2 linked regions of the Schizosaccharomyces pombe genome follow. The protein of the gene in region 1 interacts with the protein of each later gene in a biochemical or structural test. Each region holds a gene or a part of one and is shown in the gene's direction. Other genes may lie near its edges.

Region 1 (6,230 bases):
GTTAGATAACATCTTCTGTTCAGTTAAACTTTGAATCGTTTACAAGTACATGCTCATCGTTAACAGAAACCCGAAGAGTTTGGTAAGAGGATATTGTAAAAAAGATATTGTACTTCGTAATTTAGATGGTTGGCTATTTGATATGATCACAATTTCAACCATTTTTAAACTCTACAATCAAATTTGTTCACTTTCCTCCACTGACCGAAAAAAAACCTCAATATCTAATAAACTGCAGCAGGAATTTTGCATTATGGATATAAACAAAGTTGGCAGAAATTTTATTTCTTTAGGAAAAATACGATCAAGTAAGAGGAGAAACGCTATTTTGTCATACCAAACGATCATTAGTTCATTCCCTCATAATCATGTACAAAAACTTTTTCAAAGAACTCAATCAACAAATATGATTTATACCAAGTTAGAATATTTCGGTCATTCTTTGTTCTTTTATTTTACGGCATTTACGCTCTCGTTCAAGGATAGAAAAATCTTAATGCAAGCCGATGTATTTTTTAGACTAAAGCTCGTATTCAAGATAGCATTCTTTTTCACTCAAACAACTTTTTTAAATAAAAAAGAAAATAGGGAATTGTAGGTTTATGGATCATCAAACAAAGGAATACAGTAAACGGACTGCAGCAAAACTAAAGGTTTTTTAGAAAAAAAAAAGATGCATATTTTGTTCACTGAAAAAAAGTAATTTTAAAAGCGTTTTTGCTTAATTAGAAGGAGGTGAATAATCTTGTTTGTGCGCTTCCTTAATGTTTTCCGGGGATGACTCGTGATGAAGTTCTTTAAGCGCTTTTTGAATATCGGAAGAAATTGTTTCCAGCTGTTTTGACCGCATGTCGTACGAATAGATTACTTTGTTGTTTGAGATAATGGAAAATGTTGGAGTTTGATCGTTCGGTAAACGGTGATTAACGTTAAACTTCAAGCCGTAATTGTTGTAATACAATGAAGGAAGACATTCTTTTACAAATTTTCTAGAATTTAAAACGTTAGCAATGAACAACGCATGAAACGGAATCGTAGATCAGTGCTTCCTCACACAAAGTATTATCAAGCAGTTATTTGAGAGAATTAAACATGAATTGAGCATAAAATGTTTGAGGTACCAGTACATAGACAACATCGATGATTCTAACACGAATAAACAAAACTTACTTAGCACCCATATGTCCCAAACGGCTGTCTAAAGAATATTGAATAGATACTTCCTGAATATGTTTTGGTAAAGGAATCCCTAAAGCTCCAGCACGAATCTTGTGCAAAGATTTTTGTAATTTACCGCCTATGCTAGACATGGCGAAAATGTAAAGTTGTAGTAATAATCAGCCAAACAAAAATGAAAGAGTTTGAAACAATATGTTTTTATTCAAATATTCTGTCGGGATGAACAGAGAATATAAATATTAATGAATTAAGCCTAATGCCGTAGATTCGTACTCTCTTGTCAATTGTTGCTTGCTCTCTTTAAAAGCGAGTTCCTTGATCTCGCATTTAACGTAGTTTAGTGTGTCCTTATGCTAAATAAGGGATCACCTAACAGTGCGGAATGGGAGAAATGAGTATGAAATTCTGCAACAAGCATAGACCAAACGACACATTCTCATTATGGATTCAGAAACGCATATTACGATACGAAATATAAGTAAAAACTCGGTGGATTTTGTCCTTACAAATACAAGTTTGGCGTAAGTGAAAAGCTCTAGGAAATTCCTTCTAATAGTTGAAAGAGTTGCAAACTCGCTGCGACGTGTTGTACTTGCAGAGATTCCAACAGTGGGTAAGATTTAGGTTCATTCTTGAATTAAATACTAATGATGTTTTAGCCATTGACCTAGTTGAAATTAATGTGAATACCTCAGTCATGCCTGATGAGTTTCTAGCACATCGTCTTGGTATGATACCTCTGGATAGCTCCAACATCGATGAACCGCCTCCAGTAGGTTTGGAATATACGCGCAATTGCGATTGCGATCAGTATTGTCCCAAGTGTTCAGTCGAGTTGTTCCTAAATGCCAAATGTACTGGTGAGGGTACGATGGAAATTTATGCTAGAGATCTTGTTGTTTCTTCTAACTCTTCTCTTGGACACCCTATTCTCGCCGATCCAAAATCACGCGGACCGCTTATTTGCAAACTCAGAAAAGAGCAGGAAATTTCTCTGCGTTGCATTGCCAAGAAGGGTATAGCTAAAGAACATGCTAAGTGGTCACCTACTTCAGCTGTTGCATTTGAATACGATCCATGGAACAAGTTACAGCATACTGATTACTGGTTTGAGAATGATGCAGATGCAGAGTGGCCAAAAAGCAAAAATGCCGATTGGGAAGAACCACCGCGGGAAGGCGAACCATTCAACTTCCAAGAGGAACCGCGTCGGTTTTATATGGATGTCGAAAGTGTCGGTTCTATACCACCCAATGAAATAATGGTTCAAGGTTTACGAATTCTTCAGGAAAAGCTTGCAGTTTTAGTTCGTGATCTCGACGAAGAGCAGCCTACTCAACTTTCTGCTAACGAACTGAATATGGAGGAGAATGCAGAAATGAACTGGTCTCCCTATCAAAATGGTGAAGAAAACACGTGGTAGACTATGCTTCAATTCTTTTCTAAAAATTATCCATTTTCATCCTTTATATGTTTGTTGTTATAAAAAATACTCTAGATGCGTTTTTTTAATCATCTAAAAGTTTTTAATTTATGGCCTGCGTCCGTTCATGTCATACCTTACACATTTTTATCTAATCCTTTTTTTTTTGGCTTTTGGCTACAACATATTGTACGTATTGATATGCATATATAGAGATATATATTCCTCCCTCATATCATAATTTTGTTCTTCTTCACTTGGATTTATTATAGCTTTAGATAATTTCGTGAAAGAGAACACTTTCGGAATTGTCGTTTTGATATCTTTTTAATTTTCGGTGATTGCCTCTTGAACTCTTTGTTGGAAAGTTTATATCGGCTCACCATGCTCACAATGAATAGACAAAGTTGCTACAAGTGGACAACGAGATTACAGAATACAATTTTTTATAACGATGTTTTATTCGTTTACCAAAAATAAAGACAACAAAAAAGTTTTTAAAAACCTCAACACTTTAAAATAACATGTACAACGAGAACCGAAAGCGTCTCCTTTACTTTTATGCTGAAGAGTTTTCTTCTTCAGCGTATAATTTTTCGGTTTCCTCAATTGCAGTAACATTTGAACGTAGTTTGTTTAAAGTTTCCACGTACTCATCTTGTTCATCTGAATCAAACACAATACCACCACCGGCTTGCAAATAAACAGTTCCGTCTTTATAAACCATTGTACGGATTGCTATACAAGTATCCATGTTGTCATCTTCATAGCCCCAACGACCTACGGCTCCCGCGTATATACCACGCTTTTCTTTCTCTAATCCATAAACGAGCTGAATTGCACGGACTTTGGGAGACCCACTGACCGTTCCAGCCGGAAATATACTACGGAATGCATCAAAACGAGTTTTATCAGGTCTCAGAACACCAGAAACTTGAGAAACAAGATGCTGAACATGAGAAAACTTTTCAATAGTCATCAACTTGTCAACACTTGTTGTGTCGAGATCACAGACACGACTGACATCGTTTCTTGCCAAGTCCACCAGCATTACATGTTCAGCTCTATCCTTGACACTAGCAAGTAAATCCTTGGCATATGCCTCATCCTCTTCTTTAGTTTTTCCTCTTGGAACAGTTCCGGCAATGGGATGATTGATAATACGCCCATGCTCTGATTTAACCAGTAATTCAGGGGAAGCACCGATTATGTCGAAATCATCACAGTGGATGTAGAACATATAAGGGGACGGGTTAACTGTTCTTAAATGGCGGTACAAATTAAAAGGATGTAAATCTGTACGCCTAGCAATCCGTTGGCTTGGGACAGCTTGGAAAATATCGCCATTAAAGATATGTTCCTTGAGGTTGGAAACAAATGCTTTATACCCGTCTTCGCCTACATTTGACTTAGCTTCGTATCCTAAATGGACCTTCTTTTGCTCAGGCAAAGGAATTTCAGGACTTTCAAGTTTCTTTTTAAGCATATTGATTTTGAAAACGGCAGCTTCGTAAGCCTCTTCAATGGGTCGGCCTTGCTGAATGCAAACATGAGAAATTATCTTGACAGTCTGATAAGCATGATCGAAAGCGACTAAATCGTCGGTCATGAAAAACATAGCCTCCGGAAGACCCAAGGTATCTTCTAAAGGCATTTCAGTAGTGGGTTCAAAATATTTGATGCAATCATAAGAAACATAGCCCACAGCACCTCCACTGAAAGATGGCAGACCCTCAACAGGGGCTGTTTTAACTTCTTTCAACTCACGTTCTAAACGTGCCAAAGGATCTGTTTTTCCATTGGCCATTAATATTCTATAAGGGCTGCCAATAAAACTGTATCTTGAGACACTCTCTCCTTGAGTGACACTTTCTAAAATAAACGAATACTTCTTTCCTTGATTAAGCTTCAAGTAGGCTACTGAAGGAGTCAGCATATCGGCAGGGATTACTCCATAAATGGGAATCTTGTTAGCCTTGTGCTTTTCAGCAAGCTCTTGAACTTGTTTCAAGTCAGGATAAATCTAAAATAGTATTAGTATCATGTATTAATTTTAAGCTTCATAGCCCTAGAAACGGCGACTTTTACAGTTAAAAGCAATACAACAAAGGAAAGACCCAATCCTAAACTCGTCAATATATCCCAATACTACTATTTATTTTCCATAGGTTGGGTCTCCTTGTTAGAACAAAAAAAATCAAATTACCTTCATCTTATTGACAAGTCTATACTCGAATAAGTGCAAATTCAATAGCAAACCAAAAAAATCCCTTAAACTTGAACCGATCTATTTCCAGAAAGACAAGCAATTCCAAATTTTTCTGTAAGCGAAGAAAGAAAACAAAAGAACCAATTAATTCAACAACGTAAAGCTGCTGGAAGAAGACAACTTGTGAAAGTTGGAAAATTCATCTAAATTAGATGAAAAATATAACGGATGCGTTGGAAAACGTTATATGGTTAAATGTAAATAAAAGACTGGAAATAGGAATTAGGAAGTTATATTTAACTGCGGACAAACCGATAAAAGTATTTTGTTTTAGGATAAGATTTATTTTTTTCCTAAGCTCTTAGGCAAATTCTTAAAATGGCCAAAGTTTCGTCGAACATAAACTGCAATCTAGTTAAGATCTTGATTTCTTTTTTTTTTATTTTATTTATCTAGTCTCCTTGGTTTGATTTAAAAATGTTAAAAATAAAAGGCATTCGTTTAGATGAAAAGGGTGTGTATGTTAGCTAGAAAGTTGCAGACCTGAATAGAGGAGAAGACACTGTGTAAAAGTCCTCTACAAAATCTATGAAATTTCGTGAATCATGCGCTTATAATATTCAGAAATTGAAAAGAGGAACAACGATTATAACGAAAGAGAACTAAGAGGATTTAGGCGTTGGAATTGGTATAAGAGAATACATGACTCGCTATTAGGGCAATTCAGAATAATGTTATATTTATGCTAACAAATTTATAAATTTAATAGAGTCGACTACCCTTAGGATTTGAAGTGCGTCTTATACCGAAACGATCGAAGTGAATTAAAGTGATTGCTTGTTTAAGTGCAATTGAACAGTCAAGGCTAGTCATCTATAAATCTGAACAGTTCAACTTAATAAGCAAAAAGTAATGTTATTCGATCAAGGATTTTTCGTCTTGTGAATGATCTTGCAAGTTAATAAAAACGGAGATGAAACTCTCGAACGTATAAAAACAATCAATCGCTGGTTAAATTCAATCTTTTAGCAAAAAAGGATTTTAATTGTATAATGTATTCAATCGGGAAAAGCAAAAGAGGGTCTTTCACGCGGCACTATTTTTTTGCCTGAAAATAAATAAGTAAATAGAACAGTATCCTAAAAACAGTTTATTCAAATCCTTTTTAAACGAGTATAGGAATCTTGTTTGTTATATATTGGATCTCTGTCAGTTCAAATTCATGTTATTAAGTAGAATAAATACCTCTTTCACTTCACTCAATAAACGCAGATGCAAAAAGAAAATAGGAAAAATAGTATAGGATAAAGGTAAGATCGCACTGTTATTAAACAGTTATTTTACTTCTACAGTGTTGATTCCTCATGATTTCAAGTTAAGATATTGTCGTACAAAATCCCGATTCGGGGAATTGAGCTT
Region 2 (3,383 bases), 1.0 Mb from region 1:
ACCAGGGTCTGGTAGGCAGTTTATGTGCTCGAACAGTTTCTTCTGTTATAATATTTGCTTGAGCGCCCGTATCGATTAGACAGGGTATTGAGCACTTGAAGTCTGGAAGTTCAGCTTGTAATACCATTTCGTAACGTTTCCTAGTATGATTTAGGAATTTGTTAGATGAGTATTCTATTCTCGAAACATTTGTCTTCCTCAGGTTTCTGCTATTAGTGGTGTTATTTTTCTTTGAAAGGGACTCTTTTCCTAGATTTTTATTTTGCGGTTGAAAACGCTTGTGAGTTTTACCATACGAGGCTGTTCTTTTGTCCTCTAAAAAGTCATAAATTTCACTGATTTCTGATTTCCAGTAATTTCTTTCCTTTAATTTCCTTAAGGAATATGGCAGCATCCATAATATAAACAAGCGAGTATGGAAATCATCAACATTTGCTTTTGACATGAGTTTCCTTATAAATTGAACTTTGTCCAATTGATTTCTAAAACCTTCAAATGTTTTAGTTAAACGATCACCTTTGTTGGATCCTTGTACTTTCCCTGTTTGTCTGAGTAATTCTTGCCATGTAAGACTTCCATTCTCAGAAAACATGCGTTCAGCGAATTGTTGCTCTAATTCTTCTAGGTGATTCAATGTATACTGTCTTTTAGTATGCTCATTTGGGAATAATGAAGGGTATTCAGTAAAGTGTTGATCAAGTTTTGAAATGTAACTTTCAACATCCTTATTTGGATCGAATTTCCCTATCTCTGGTACATGCTTCGATAATATTTTTGCAAAAAGGTTTATTAAATGTTCGTCTGATGTTTGAATTCCATCCAAATTCTCTGGTCTCCATCGTTTTGCTCTTGCTTTCATATAACGATAATTTGCGTAGGACATTGTATATGTTTCCCTTTGGGAGATTTCAAAAGGGATAACAGTCCTTCCAAAGTTCCTTCTCCTTTGAACCCAGAAGGAGAGAAATATATATATTTATGATATATATTTATTCAATAATTCCTTTTTCCTAAAAGGAGTTAATTGTAGATCACAAGAGTTCAGTTATTGTAAGCTACGCAGTTTGGTATCTGATTTAAGGATACGTAGAACTGCGGTGAGTTTTCCTTGTGATCTATTATATTACGATACACAGGTTGTATAAGTAGCAACTGAGTATAGGTATTGTATTAACTGGGTTATAATGTTACCTATCACTAATATAGCTCATAACTGAACTGAGGAACGAGGTTCAGCAGTAGCTCTATTTATAGTATTCAGATAATATTGATCTTAATAGATTATCATTAAGATCAATCTCCATATCGTATCATACATGGTACGATATATAATTAGAACATGTGACATATAGTGATACTCAACGTAGTGTATTATAGCGTAGTGTAGTATTGCTGACATTAAGTTCCTTTTAAGAGGGTTTACACGTTTGATGAACTCATTAACGATGCGTTGGGATGCGACAAGTTTAACCTGAGACGTGGTACAATAGCTAGTAGTTAATTTCTACAAAGTAGCAAAGGTAACAGACATGCTTATAGAGAGATGATAAAGTAATAGTAACAAATAGACTCTCAATCAGTCAATTTTATCAAATTAAATTATTGATTTAAAAAATAATTTGAATAATAAAAGAAAAAGTCTCTGAAATGTTTCAGTGGAGCGTGCGTTCGATCTTTCTATGAATTAAACATATAAGATGTAAATAGTGCATTGTAGTGTAAAGTAATGAGATTTAACACGGATTCACAATTCGAACGCTGACTAGGTGTATGAGAATTTCCTCTGTCAACTTCCAATTTTTTAGATTCGCCCTTGTCCCCCTTTTCTCCTTTGGCAATTGCATACAAAATGTCTGACTATGAAGAGGATGAGGCCTTTGGAATGGACGGTGCTGTTATGGAGGAGGAAGTCGATGAACTGGAGATGATCGATGAAAATGGGCAATCACAGCAAGGCGTCTCTCATCCTGGTGAACCTTCGACTACCGTTATTACTGAAGATGTTGCTAGCTCAAAAACAGCTCAATCTGGTAAAGCGGTAGCAAAGGAAGACCGAACCACTACTCCTTATATGACAAAGTATGAACGCGCTCGTATTTTGGGAACTCGAGCACTTCAAATTAGGTGAGTAGATGCGTGGATTTACAATAAAGCGTCGTACAAAGGCACTAGCGTAATTGCTTAAGTCCTGAATCGTTATGCTGTTTTGCAGTCATGGAGTTTAAAAAAAAACGATATAGTTAAAAATTTTTTTTTTATTTTCTAGTTAGGATTGTCTGATTATGATGAATTTTGTTTCTTTTCAATTGAGCTTTCTTTTAATTTCTAACTCTTTATTTTAGTATGAACGCACCTGTTTTAGTTGATTTGGAAGGTGAAACTGATCCTTTGCAAATTGCCATGAAGGAGCTTGCACAAAAAAAGATTCCTCTACTAGTCCGGCGATATTTACCCGATGGCAGTTATGAAGACTGGAGTGTAGCGGAGCTCATTTAATTTAAGAAGTGTTCCAATTTCAAATACGTTCTATCGCTCGTTCGATTCACCTCGTTCTTTTCCTAATTCTTTTGTTTTACGTGAGCGAAGCCGTTTGGCTATGGTAAAGAAAAGAAAATAAAAGCAAAAGGACTAAATTTTTAGCTCTATACCATTAATTTACGATTTAGAAATAGGGACGTATTTATCCTCGGGAGAAAAAAAAGGCTTGTGCTACTATTCTAGAAATCTTCTTTTCTTGTGTCAAAAAATTTTTTGGGGCATTTTAGCTCTCGTTCTTCAATGAATGCATTTAATAATAACTTTTTCCGATAGTTTTAGTAGCTGTGTAAATGTAAACTCATTGATCACGGAGTTTTTTGTACAACTGTTAATCTGAAAAAAATTCTAGAGCACAGAAAACTCAAAATTGCTTACTACACACCTATCATTCAGATATGTTCAAATGTTCTATTACTATCAGTTTCAAAGCATGGATTGCGAAATTTACAAGGTATAATATCTAATGAGTGTGCTCATGAGATGGATGCGAATGTTCACCAGAAGACCCATTTAAGTGTTGCCATCTATGAACCTGATTAGAGTCAGAGGAAAGTGGTGTCACGATACAACTGGAAAGGGCAGGGATAGCATCCAAAACAGTCTTTTCTACCTTTTGTGCCAATTCGGACGACTGTTGAGATGTGAAGGATGGAGGAACAGATATTATCACATGCATGGCATGTGCATTTCCTAATATAGTAACGATTTTATATGGAAGCTTTTCTCCCTTCAATAAAGCATCAGTTACTGCGATACGTAACTCTTCGGAAGGTGCTCGGTCCAAAAGCTGCAAGAAGGCCTTTTTAGAAGAGTTGAAGCCGGCACTAAAAACGACAATACTTACT

The links. The genes of interacting proteins can lie anywhere in the genome.
Region 2: the proteins of rpb3 (region 1) and rpb6 form a complex in vitro, tested with the Schizosaccharomyces pombe proteins (2 studies listed by BioGRID).

What each region holds. Positions count from the first base shown.
Region 1 is NC_003421.2:1,782,370-1,788,599, reverse strand, and holds rpb3 (DNA-directed RNA polymerase II complex subunit Rpb3), read left to right. Parts: upstream 1-1,601; 5' UTR 1,602-1,620; coding exon 1,621-1,700; exon of another isoform or gene 1,701-1,742; coding exon 1,743-1,792; exon of another isoform or gene 1,793-1,838; coding exon 1,839-2,602; 3' UTR 2,603-3,161; coding exon of another isoform or gene 3,162-4,625; 3' UTR 4,626-4,808; coding exon of another isoform or gene 4,809-4,814; 3' UTR 4,815-5,703; downstream 5,704-6,230. Other genes in the region: SPOM_SPCC1442.11C (uncharacterized protein), read left to right, coding at 50-598; mrp49 (mitochondrial 54S ribosomal protein mL61), read right to left, coding at 722-989, 1,171-1,310; trp3 (anthranilate synthase component I), read right to left, coding at 3,162-4,625, 4,809-4,814. UniProt on the Schizosaccharomyces pombe protein: DNA-dependent RNA polymerase catalyzes the transcription of DNA into RNA using the four ribonucleoside triphosphates as substrates. Component of RNA polymerase II which synthesizes mRNA precursors and many functional non-coding RNAs.
Region 2 is NC_003421.2:781,252-784,634, forward strand, and holds rpb6 (DNA-directed RNA polymerase subunit Rpb6), read left to right. Parts: upstream 1-1,785; 5' UTR 1,786-1,849; coding exon 1,850-2,124; intron 2,125-2,342; coding exon 2,343-2,496; 3' UTR 2,497-2,826; downstream 2,827-3,383. Other genes in the region: Tf2-12 (retrotransposable element/transposon Tf2-type), read right to left, coding at 1-883; mmt1 (mitochondrial iron ion transporter), read right to left, coding at 2,999-3,383. UniProt on the Schizosaccharomyces pombe protein: DNA-dependent RNA polymerases catalyze the transcription of DNA into RNA using the four ribonucleoside triphosphates as substrates.